2 linked regions of the Daphnia pulex genome follow. The protein of the gene in region 1 binds, or shares a complex with, the protein of each later gene. Links are inferred from orthologs where the notes say so. Each region holds a gene or a part of one and is shown on either strand. Other genes may lie near its edges.

Region 1 (3,964 bases):
AAAATGATCTCCAGTTTTGAAATGCACATATAAAACTCACCTTTGTTTGTTAATCTCACCAATTTCTCTTTGATTCAACGAGCTTGAAAATCAGAAACAAATGTCACTTAGGCTTGCTGGAACATAAACTTGTGTGTCAATTGTAGCCAAAGTAGTCTGCACGCGTAAAGGAATTGTTATGTAAAGGAAAATTCTCCAAAATTTTTCGTGGGATCAATATAAACGGGATTGGTCACGAACGGTCACGAAATAACCGGGGATAAAAGCAGCGTGCCTGTGTCGGTTATCTGTTGAAACATCGGACTTATGCAAAAGAATCAAGAATAGGAAATTGCAGAGCTACTAAATGTTGCTAAATGTGTGACGCGTGTTTTTATCAAACCAAATGGTAAATGCGCACGACTAAATAAATGGACTCTTCGGGGGCGCTAGGGCGGGGGCACTGGAGACTTGGTCGAAGTTGATTTTGACTTCACAAAATTTATTTAAATGAATTAAACAAGGTTCTGTTTTCTGTCTCTGCTGTCTTCGTTTTCTCAGTGAATCTGGATAGCCAGATATGGAAGCCTAAAACCGGCCTATTTTCAATATAAGACTAAACTTAATTGATCATTCCTTTGATTTTTTGTGTTCGCGATGCCTCAAATACAAAAAAGGAAAAAAAAGTCTATTATATTCTCTATATATTCATATAATAGACATTCGAAGTTTGAAATCAGCTTAGACTTTTTCATTTACGGTGAAAAATGATTTATTTTAATGATTTGATGAAAAAGCTACATTTCCTATCGATAATTCTTTTTACGAGCCCTTGAGAGACTTTGTGTTTTCGTGATGTTTCACGATTTGCAATCCCGGATCCCGGTTATCTCGGTATTAAATAAAGAAGATAAAAATATGGACTTCGTGTGCCCTTCGTGTCGTTTGAATCGTCTTGCGATTTTGCACAGGATAGATCTTTCCGGATTCTATTTCCGTATTTACTCTGTCTTTATGGGAGTGTCAAATAATCGACTAGGCCTATACTCTGTTTGGAGCCTGCCCTAAACGCGGAGTAAAAAGAAAGGGACCGACAAAGGCAACAATCAGAGACAAGCAACCATCACGTGACTAGGCGGGGTTTATCGGTGCAGGAGAGATGGCCGTGTAGCAATTTCGTCTGCTAACGTACGGCGTTCCCATAGTTACCGGAACCACATACAGCAGGGCCATGTGGTTTTCCCAACTCACCATGTATGAAATATAGTGCCTACAGTGTGTCTACCTTAAAGTCCAATTACTATAATAGAAATCATCAATCAACATGCTTGTGCCTGGCCTAATAAAGTATCTTGTGAAACACAGTGTTTATGTTTCAAATTTTAACTATTGCAGGATTCTAATAAGACAAAAAAAGACCATGCCTCCAGTGTCACAACTTATGGTCCCTTTACCTGTCAAATCTGTGCCAGATAGTTCAAATGTGGGTGCTGAATTAACTGGAAAACTCAACAAAGAAGAAATAATGAAATGGTTAGCGAAATTCTATCAACGAAGAGAAATTAAAGCTGCAGCTGTGGAAAATGGAATTGACAGTATGTGTTTATTATGTCACTAATCTTTCTGTGTGATGAAAACTAAACAAAAGCATTATTTGCAGATTACATATATCATCAGACATACCTCAGTTTCAGAAAATTTTGTCTTGAAGATGACAAGTTGCCAGTTGATTTACATGTCACCCTAAGTGATATCATAGCAGGAGCTTGTCATTTAGATAGTTTGTTACCATACTTTATTCGGCATGCAAAACAAGCTTTTCCTCATTTAGAATGCCTTGATGATTTGAAAAAAATTTCTGATCTTCGACTTCCTGCAAATTGGTAAAATTTAGATAAATGTGATTATGTAAAGATTTATTTCATTTTGGTTCTTTGATATGTTTAGGTACCCTGAAGCAAGAGCTTTGACACGCAAAATTGTATTTCATTCTGGCCCAACAAATAGTGGGAAAACATATCATGCTCTTGAAAGGTTTTTTAATTCAAAATCAGGAGTTTATTGTGGTCCCTTAAAACTTTTGGCATCTGAAGTGTATTACAAAAGTAATCAGCGTGGTGTCCCATGTGATTTAGTAACTGGAGAAGAAAGAAATTTTGCTAATGCTACTGATAAATCTCCTTCTTCCCATGTATCCTGCACTGTTGAAATGGTCTCAGTGAACACTCCATATGAAGTATGTACAATTTTTCAATATAATTAAATTATCAATTTAACCGTGTGATTTCTGACATTGTTGGTGAAATCTTGAATTTTCATAGGTTGCTGTTATTGATGAAATTCAGATGTTAAAGGACCCTAGTCGCGGTTGGGCATGGACAAGAGCATTATTGGGTGTAGTTGCTGAAGAGGTGCACGTTTGTGGTGAAGCCGCCGCAATTGATGTTGTAAAAGAAATTCTCATGAGTGCCAGCGAAGAAATCGAGATGCGTCGATATAAACGTCTTACGGAGCTAATTATCGAAGATGCTTCTCTGGGAACCTTAGATAAGATTAGGCCGGGAGACTGTTTAGTTTGTTTCAACAAGCAAGACATATTCTGGTCTATGAGACAAATTGAAGCTATGGGCATTGAATGCGCAGTGATTTATGGATCACTACCACCTGGAACAAAATTAGCGCAAGCCAAGAAGTTCAATGATCCCGATCACCCCTGTAAAGTTCTGGTTGCTACTGATGCTATTGGCATGGGATTGAATCTGAATATTGGCCGCGTTATATTTAATTCTCTCATCAAACCTACGACAAATGAAAAAGGGGAGAAAGAAATGGACACTATAAGCACTTCGCAGGCTTTGCAAATTGCCGGAAGAGCTGGCCGGTATGGAACCCAGTTTTCGACTGGCTATGTAACAACTCTAAAAAATGAAGATTTGCCAACACTCAAACGACTTCTATCCCAACATCCAGAGCCAATCAATCAAGTTGGTTTACATCCAACAGCCGAACAAATCGAACTCTATGCCTATCATTTGCCCCATGCTAACCTATCGAACTTGATTGATATATTCGTCAATTTATCAACACTTGACGATTCTCTTTATTTCATATGCAACATTAACGATTTCAAGTTTTTGGCTGACATGATTCAGCACGTTCCTCTACCTTTGCGAGCTCGGTATGTATTTTGCTGTGCTCCTATCAATAGGAAAATACCTTTCGTCTGTTCCATGTTTTTGAAGTTTGCACGTCAGTACAGCAGGAACGAAGTCCTTTCCTTCGGTAACAACACTATATTATTTATATTACACAACCGCTGTTATTTATGCCCAAATTTTTACCAGATTGGTTGGGACGGCAAATTGGCTTGCCTTTTTCTTGCCCCAACACGTTGCTCGAATTAGTTCACCTTGAATCTGTATTTGATGTGCTCGATTTATACCTTTGGTTAAGTTATCGCTTCCAGGTAAGCATGTCATACATTGAATTAATTTTTAAATAGGAAGAATTTAAAACACAACAACCTTAATTCATTTAATAGGATTTGTTTCCGGACGCTTCTCTGGTTCGAGATATGCAAAAGGAACTTGACTGTTTAATTCAAACAGGTGTGGCGCAGCTTACTAGACTATTAATAAACTCGGAAACCGGAGTAAGCAGTGGAACGAGTCAAGCGGTCGAGGCTGAAGAAAACCAACATGTTCCGAGTGCTAAGAAAACTCCCTATTTCCGTAAGAATTTCTGTCAAGAACCATTTCACTTTCCATTCATTTGGGTTAACGCATCTTTCCCTTCATGTTTTTTTTTTTTTTTCAGACAATGCAGTCAATATCGTGAACTCCGTATCATCTCATGGAAGGATAGCCGATCGCCTGTTGTCTGAAGGTTTGCTGACACCTAAACTTCTGGAGGATTTGAAAACAGAGTGGCAGCGTGAAAAGGACAATGAAACGGCCCATGAAACTGTTGGCACCGTCACTAGTCC
Region 2 (4,175 bases), on another chromosome or scaffold:
GACGACTGGGAGCCCACAAGGACGGAAAGGAGCAGCACGCGACGCCATATAAAAGCCATGTTTGCTGCTGTGCTGGCCATGTCGCGCACTGTCTAAATAAAAAAAAAAAGGCTCTATCGGATGATTCGAACAAATATTGTACTGGTGGACGTGACTGGCTGGTTGCTGGTACTACACACACTGAGGCGCATTTGCATTCGGCCAAGAGATTCAGACGAATTAAAATAAAAGAATCCGAAAAGATTGATGGAATACAAAAAGGCCGGACGGGGGCTAGGTCACTCCTGATGGATAGCCAAAGGCCGAGAGCCAATGTCGTAAGTGCATACTACTAGTCTTGATAAGAAAACAATTTTAATTTTATTTTTTAAAGACAACTAAAACCCCCCAGAAAAGAATAATATTAAAAACAGAGTGTAGAGAGAGTATACAGGTTTTGTTTTCAAGTTTCTCGTGGCCCAGCGCCATCTTTGACACGTCAAGGGGGTGACGACTTGTTTCATAAGCCAAACAGACAGTTAATGGGTTTCCTCCTTCTTACAGACAAAAATCATTATTTTCTTAAAACAAAAACAAAAAAAAAGAAGAATATGATTTTTCTCTTTTTGCTTTTATTTTTTCATTATTATTATTCGTATTTTTATTTTGCCTGTAGTCGGGATTATATTCAGAGTAGGGACAGCATCTCAGACGTCGGTTTCCATAAATTATATATACGGAGATGTATACGTATAAAATAGCCTCCCGCTATAATAAAGCCGGACGGAAGGAAAGGGCTTTACTCGAGCTGGACTTTTGCTTTTCACTATATAATAAGCATGTCCCCGAGTGTTTTCATGGGAATCTTTTTTTTGTTTTTCTTTTCTTTTTTTTTGAAAAGGTCATTCTCTTCAGTTTTCTGGAGAGTACACTTTAATTTCTGAGGGGTGTGTGCTGTGTGTCTGGCGATTATATCCGCTCAAGTTTTGAATTAAAACAAAAGAAACTTGGGGAACAAGAAGAAGAAGAAGAAATCCAACTTTGGAAGGATCTGCTGCTGTTGGCAGGCAACTCCTTGTACCGAAGGCTAGATTAATGATATTACAGGGAAGGAGCAGTCGAGAAAGAAACGATCAGCAGCTAGGCCAAGTCGTTACGCGATTATAATTCGGGAGAGAGAGAACCATTCGGGGCTTGATCCTTTCGACGCTATAATCGTTCCAACTTTTTAAGATTTATGACAGCAGTTAAAAAAGAAAGAAAAAAAAATAGAATAACCGTTATTTATATCTGCGTATTACACGATAATGATTTAATGTGGAAATGAATAGGATTTAAATCCGTTTTTTTGGAAAAATCAAAAGTCGGGTGAGAAAGGTCTTTGTTATCGGCCCGTATTCGTTTTGAAAAATGTTTTCGTCTGTTGAAAATGGCTGTCCACGTGAGTAGGAGCCGGCTCTATTCACAAAATCTTTTTGTAAATCAATATTCCGGCGTTCGTTTCGGTAGAATATGTGCCAGTTACATCAAAAGATGTGAATCCACTGTCAGTGTACCTTTATCTTCAGGGTATGTTTAATTGTGGACAGCATTCAGTGCTGCGAGAGGAAAGTTCCAGCCACTATTACATTCATATCTATTGATTTTGACAGGAAAAAACTGGTATTTCAATCGGGGAAATATGCTCGATTCGCCGATGGAAGCGCCGTGGCATCCTTTGGAGATACTGCCGTATTGGTTACGGCTGTGAGTAAAGCCAAAAGCTCACCAGCTTCATTCCTGCCTCTTACCGTTGACTACAGACAGAAAGCCGCTGCAGCAGGCAGAATACCCACCAATTTCTTGAGGAGAGAACTTGGGACATCCGAAAGAGAGATTCTGACTAGTCGCATGATTGACCGATCCCTTAGACCACTCTTCCCAGATGGTTTGTATTAATCATGTATTTGGGTGTGCACCTTCAGACGAGACTAAAGTGAATATTTCTGTTTAGGGTACTTCTATGAAACTCAGGTTGTGTGCAACTTGCTATCTGTCGATGGAGTCAACGATCCAGAAGTGCTGAGTATCAATGCTGCCTCTGCTGCACTTGCCATCTCAGACATTCCTTGGAACGGTCCTGTGGCAGCAGTTCGTGTGGGTCTCATTGACAATGAAGTGGTTATCAATCCCACAAGAAGAGAGTTGGCCCACAGTCAGTTAAACTTGGTCGTCAGTTCCACTTCCCCAAATTTGGTCGTCATGCTGGAAGCTTCAGCCGAAAATGTGTACCAGCAAGACTTTTTGAAAGCCATCAGAACGGGAGTGAAAGAATGTCAAACTATCGCCAAGGCAATCGAAAAATTGCGGAAAGATGCCGGGAAACCCAAACGGGAGTTTACCGTCTTGCCGTCTGGCTCGGAGGAGTTGCTATCTGCCGTCAAACTATTGAGCGAAAATCGATTGCGGGTCATTCTGCGCGATTTTAATCACGACAAGATTTCGCGTGACGTTGCAGTTGCCACCGTACGAAACGATGTCATGGAAAAACTAAGAACCAGCTTTCCTGATACGGATCCAATGATTATCAGCGAATCCTTTAATAAATTTTTCAAGGAATTCTTTCGACAGCTTATTCTAGATGAAGAAATCAGGTCGGTTTTTTTATTAATGGTTAAAAACAATAAAATTAAGATTCAATTTTAATATTCTACTCTGTTTTTCAAGGTGTGACGGGAGGAAGTTGACTGACATTCGTAACATTTCTTGTGGTGTTGACTTGTATAAACCACTACACGGATCCGCCATCTTCCAACGTGGTCAAACTCAAGTCGTTTGCACTGTAGCCTTCGATTCACCGGAATCAGCCTTAAAATCCGATCCAGTCTCCATTCTTATGGGGTAGGCATTTTCTTGTACTATTCAACATTTCATGACTTGATTGCATTCGTAATGTTCTTTGGTTTTCAGTGGATTGAAAGCCAAGAATTTCTTCCTCCATTACGAATTCCCGCCTTATGCAACCAACGAAACAGGAAGAGTCGGATCAGGTGGTAGCGCCGGTCGTCGTGAGCTTGGCCACGGAGCTTTAGCTGAGAAAGGTCTCAGACCTGTGGTGCCCAGCGACTATCCGTTTACCATCCGTTTGACTTCTGAAGTCTTAGAGTCCAATGGTCAGTTTTGAAAATTTATTTAAGCTGATAAAAAATTTCCGAAGCCTTTTTTTGAATATTAACCTGTGAATTTTTCAGGTTCTTCGTCAATGGCCTCGGTTTGTGGAGGTTCTCTGGCTCTGATGGACGCTGGAGTTCCAATTTTGCAGCCGGCAGCGGGAGTAGCGGTTGGTTTGGTCAGTCGAGTAAACCCGGAAACTAAACAGATTGACGACTATCGCATTCTCACCGATCTTCTGGTAAATTTTTATTTGAATTAACTTTTTCAAATTCAACTTGATCATCTCAATTTTTATTTTCAACAGGGCATTGAAGACTATTTGGGAGACATGGATTTCAAATTAGCCGGAACCAAAAAAGGCATCACGGCTCTCCAAGCAGATTTTAAACTACCTGGTGTACCTTTAAAGATAATCATGGAGTCGGTGGTTCAGGCTAGCGATGCCAAGTCGCACATACTCGACATAATGGCTCAGACAATCAAACAGCCGCGTAATGACAAGAAAGATATCTGGCCACTCTCCGAAAAACTGGAAATTGAAGCTCACAAACGACCTAAATTTGTCGGTATTGGTGGTTCAAACCTCAAGAAATTAACTGCTGAAACAGGAGTTCAGGTATAAACCCCGTTTTATCACGTTCCTTTTTTCCTAATTTTCCAATAATTCAACTGTTCTCTCTTGTCTGACAGATTACCTCTATCGATGACTTGACGTTTTCCATCTTCGCACCCAATCAATCAGCGATGGACGAAGCCAAGGAAATGATTGAACAATTTCTGAAGGAAGAAAAAGAGCCGGAACTAGAATTTGGCGCCATCTACAAAGCGCGTATCGTCGAGATGAAGGAAACTGGTGTGCTGGTGACCTTCTACCCCAAAATGGTTCCTACACTCCTTCACAATTCACAGCTGGACGTACGGAAAGTAGCCCACCCATCTGCCCTAGGACTTCAGGTAGGAGATGAAATCTCTATTAAATATTTCGGCCGGGATCCAGTTAGCGGCAGGATGCGGTTGTCGCGTAAAGTCCTTCAGTCGGTTGC

The links. Proteins that work in one complex are often made in the same cells at the same time.
Region 2: ATP-dependent RNA helicase SUV3 homolog, mitochondrial-like (region 1) and polyribonucleotide nucleotidyltransferase 1, mitochondrial-like share a complex: the UniProt entries of both Homo sapiens proteins name them as parts of the mitochondrial degradosome (mtEXO) complex. The link is inferred for Daphnia pulex from reciprocal best matches to the Homo sapiens genes SUPV3L1 and PNPT1.

What each region holds. Positions count from the first base shown.
Region 1 is NC_060020.1:9,000,074-9,004,037, forward strand, and holds the start of ATP-dependent RNA helicase SUV3 homolog, mitochondrial-like, read left to right. Parts: upstream 1-1,164; 5' UTR 1,165-1,303; coding exon 1,304-1,574; intron 1,575-1,639; coding exon 1,640-1,862; intron 1,863-1,926; coding exon 1,927-2,215; intron 2,216-2,300; coding exon 2,301-3,261; intron 3,262-3,323; coding exon 3,324-3,445; intron 3,446-3,520; coding exon 3,521-3,710; intron 3,711-3,795; coding exon 3,796-3,964. UniProt on the Homo sapiens protein: Major helicase player in mitochondrial RNA metabolism. Component of the mitochondrial degradosome (mtEXO) complex, that degrades 3' overhang double-stranded RNA with a 3'-to-5' directionality in an ATP-dependent manner.
Region 2 is NC_060027.1:3,573,348-3,577,522, forward strand, and holds the start of polyribonucleotide nucleotidyltransferase 1, mitochondrial-like, read left to right. Parts: upstream 1-1,375; 5' UTR 1,376-1,408; coding exon 1,409-1,548; intron 1,549-1,631; coding exon 1,632-1,906; intron 1,907-1,972; coding exon 1,973-2,612; intron 2,613-2,685; coding exon 2,686-2,859; intron 2,860-2,928; coding exon 2,929-3,131; intron 3,132-3,209; coding exon 3,210-3,370; intron 3,371-3,436; coding exon 3,437-3,748; intron 3,749-3,822; coding exon 3,823-4,175. UniProt on the Homo sapiens protein: RNA-binding protein implicated in numerous RNA metabolic processes. Catalyzes the phosphorolysis of single-stranded polyribonucleotides processively in the 3'-to-5' direction. Mitochondrial intermembrane factor with RNA-processing exoribonulease activity.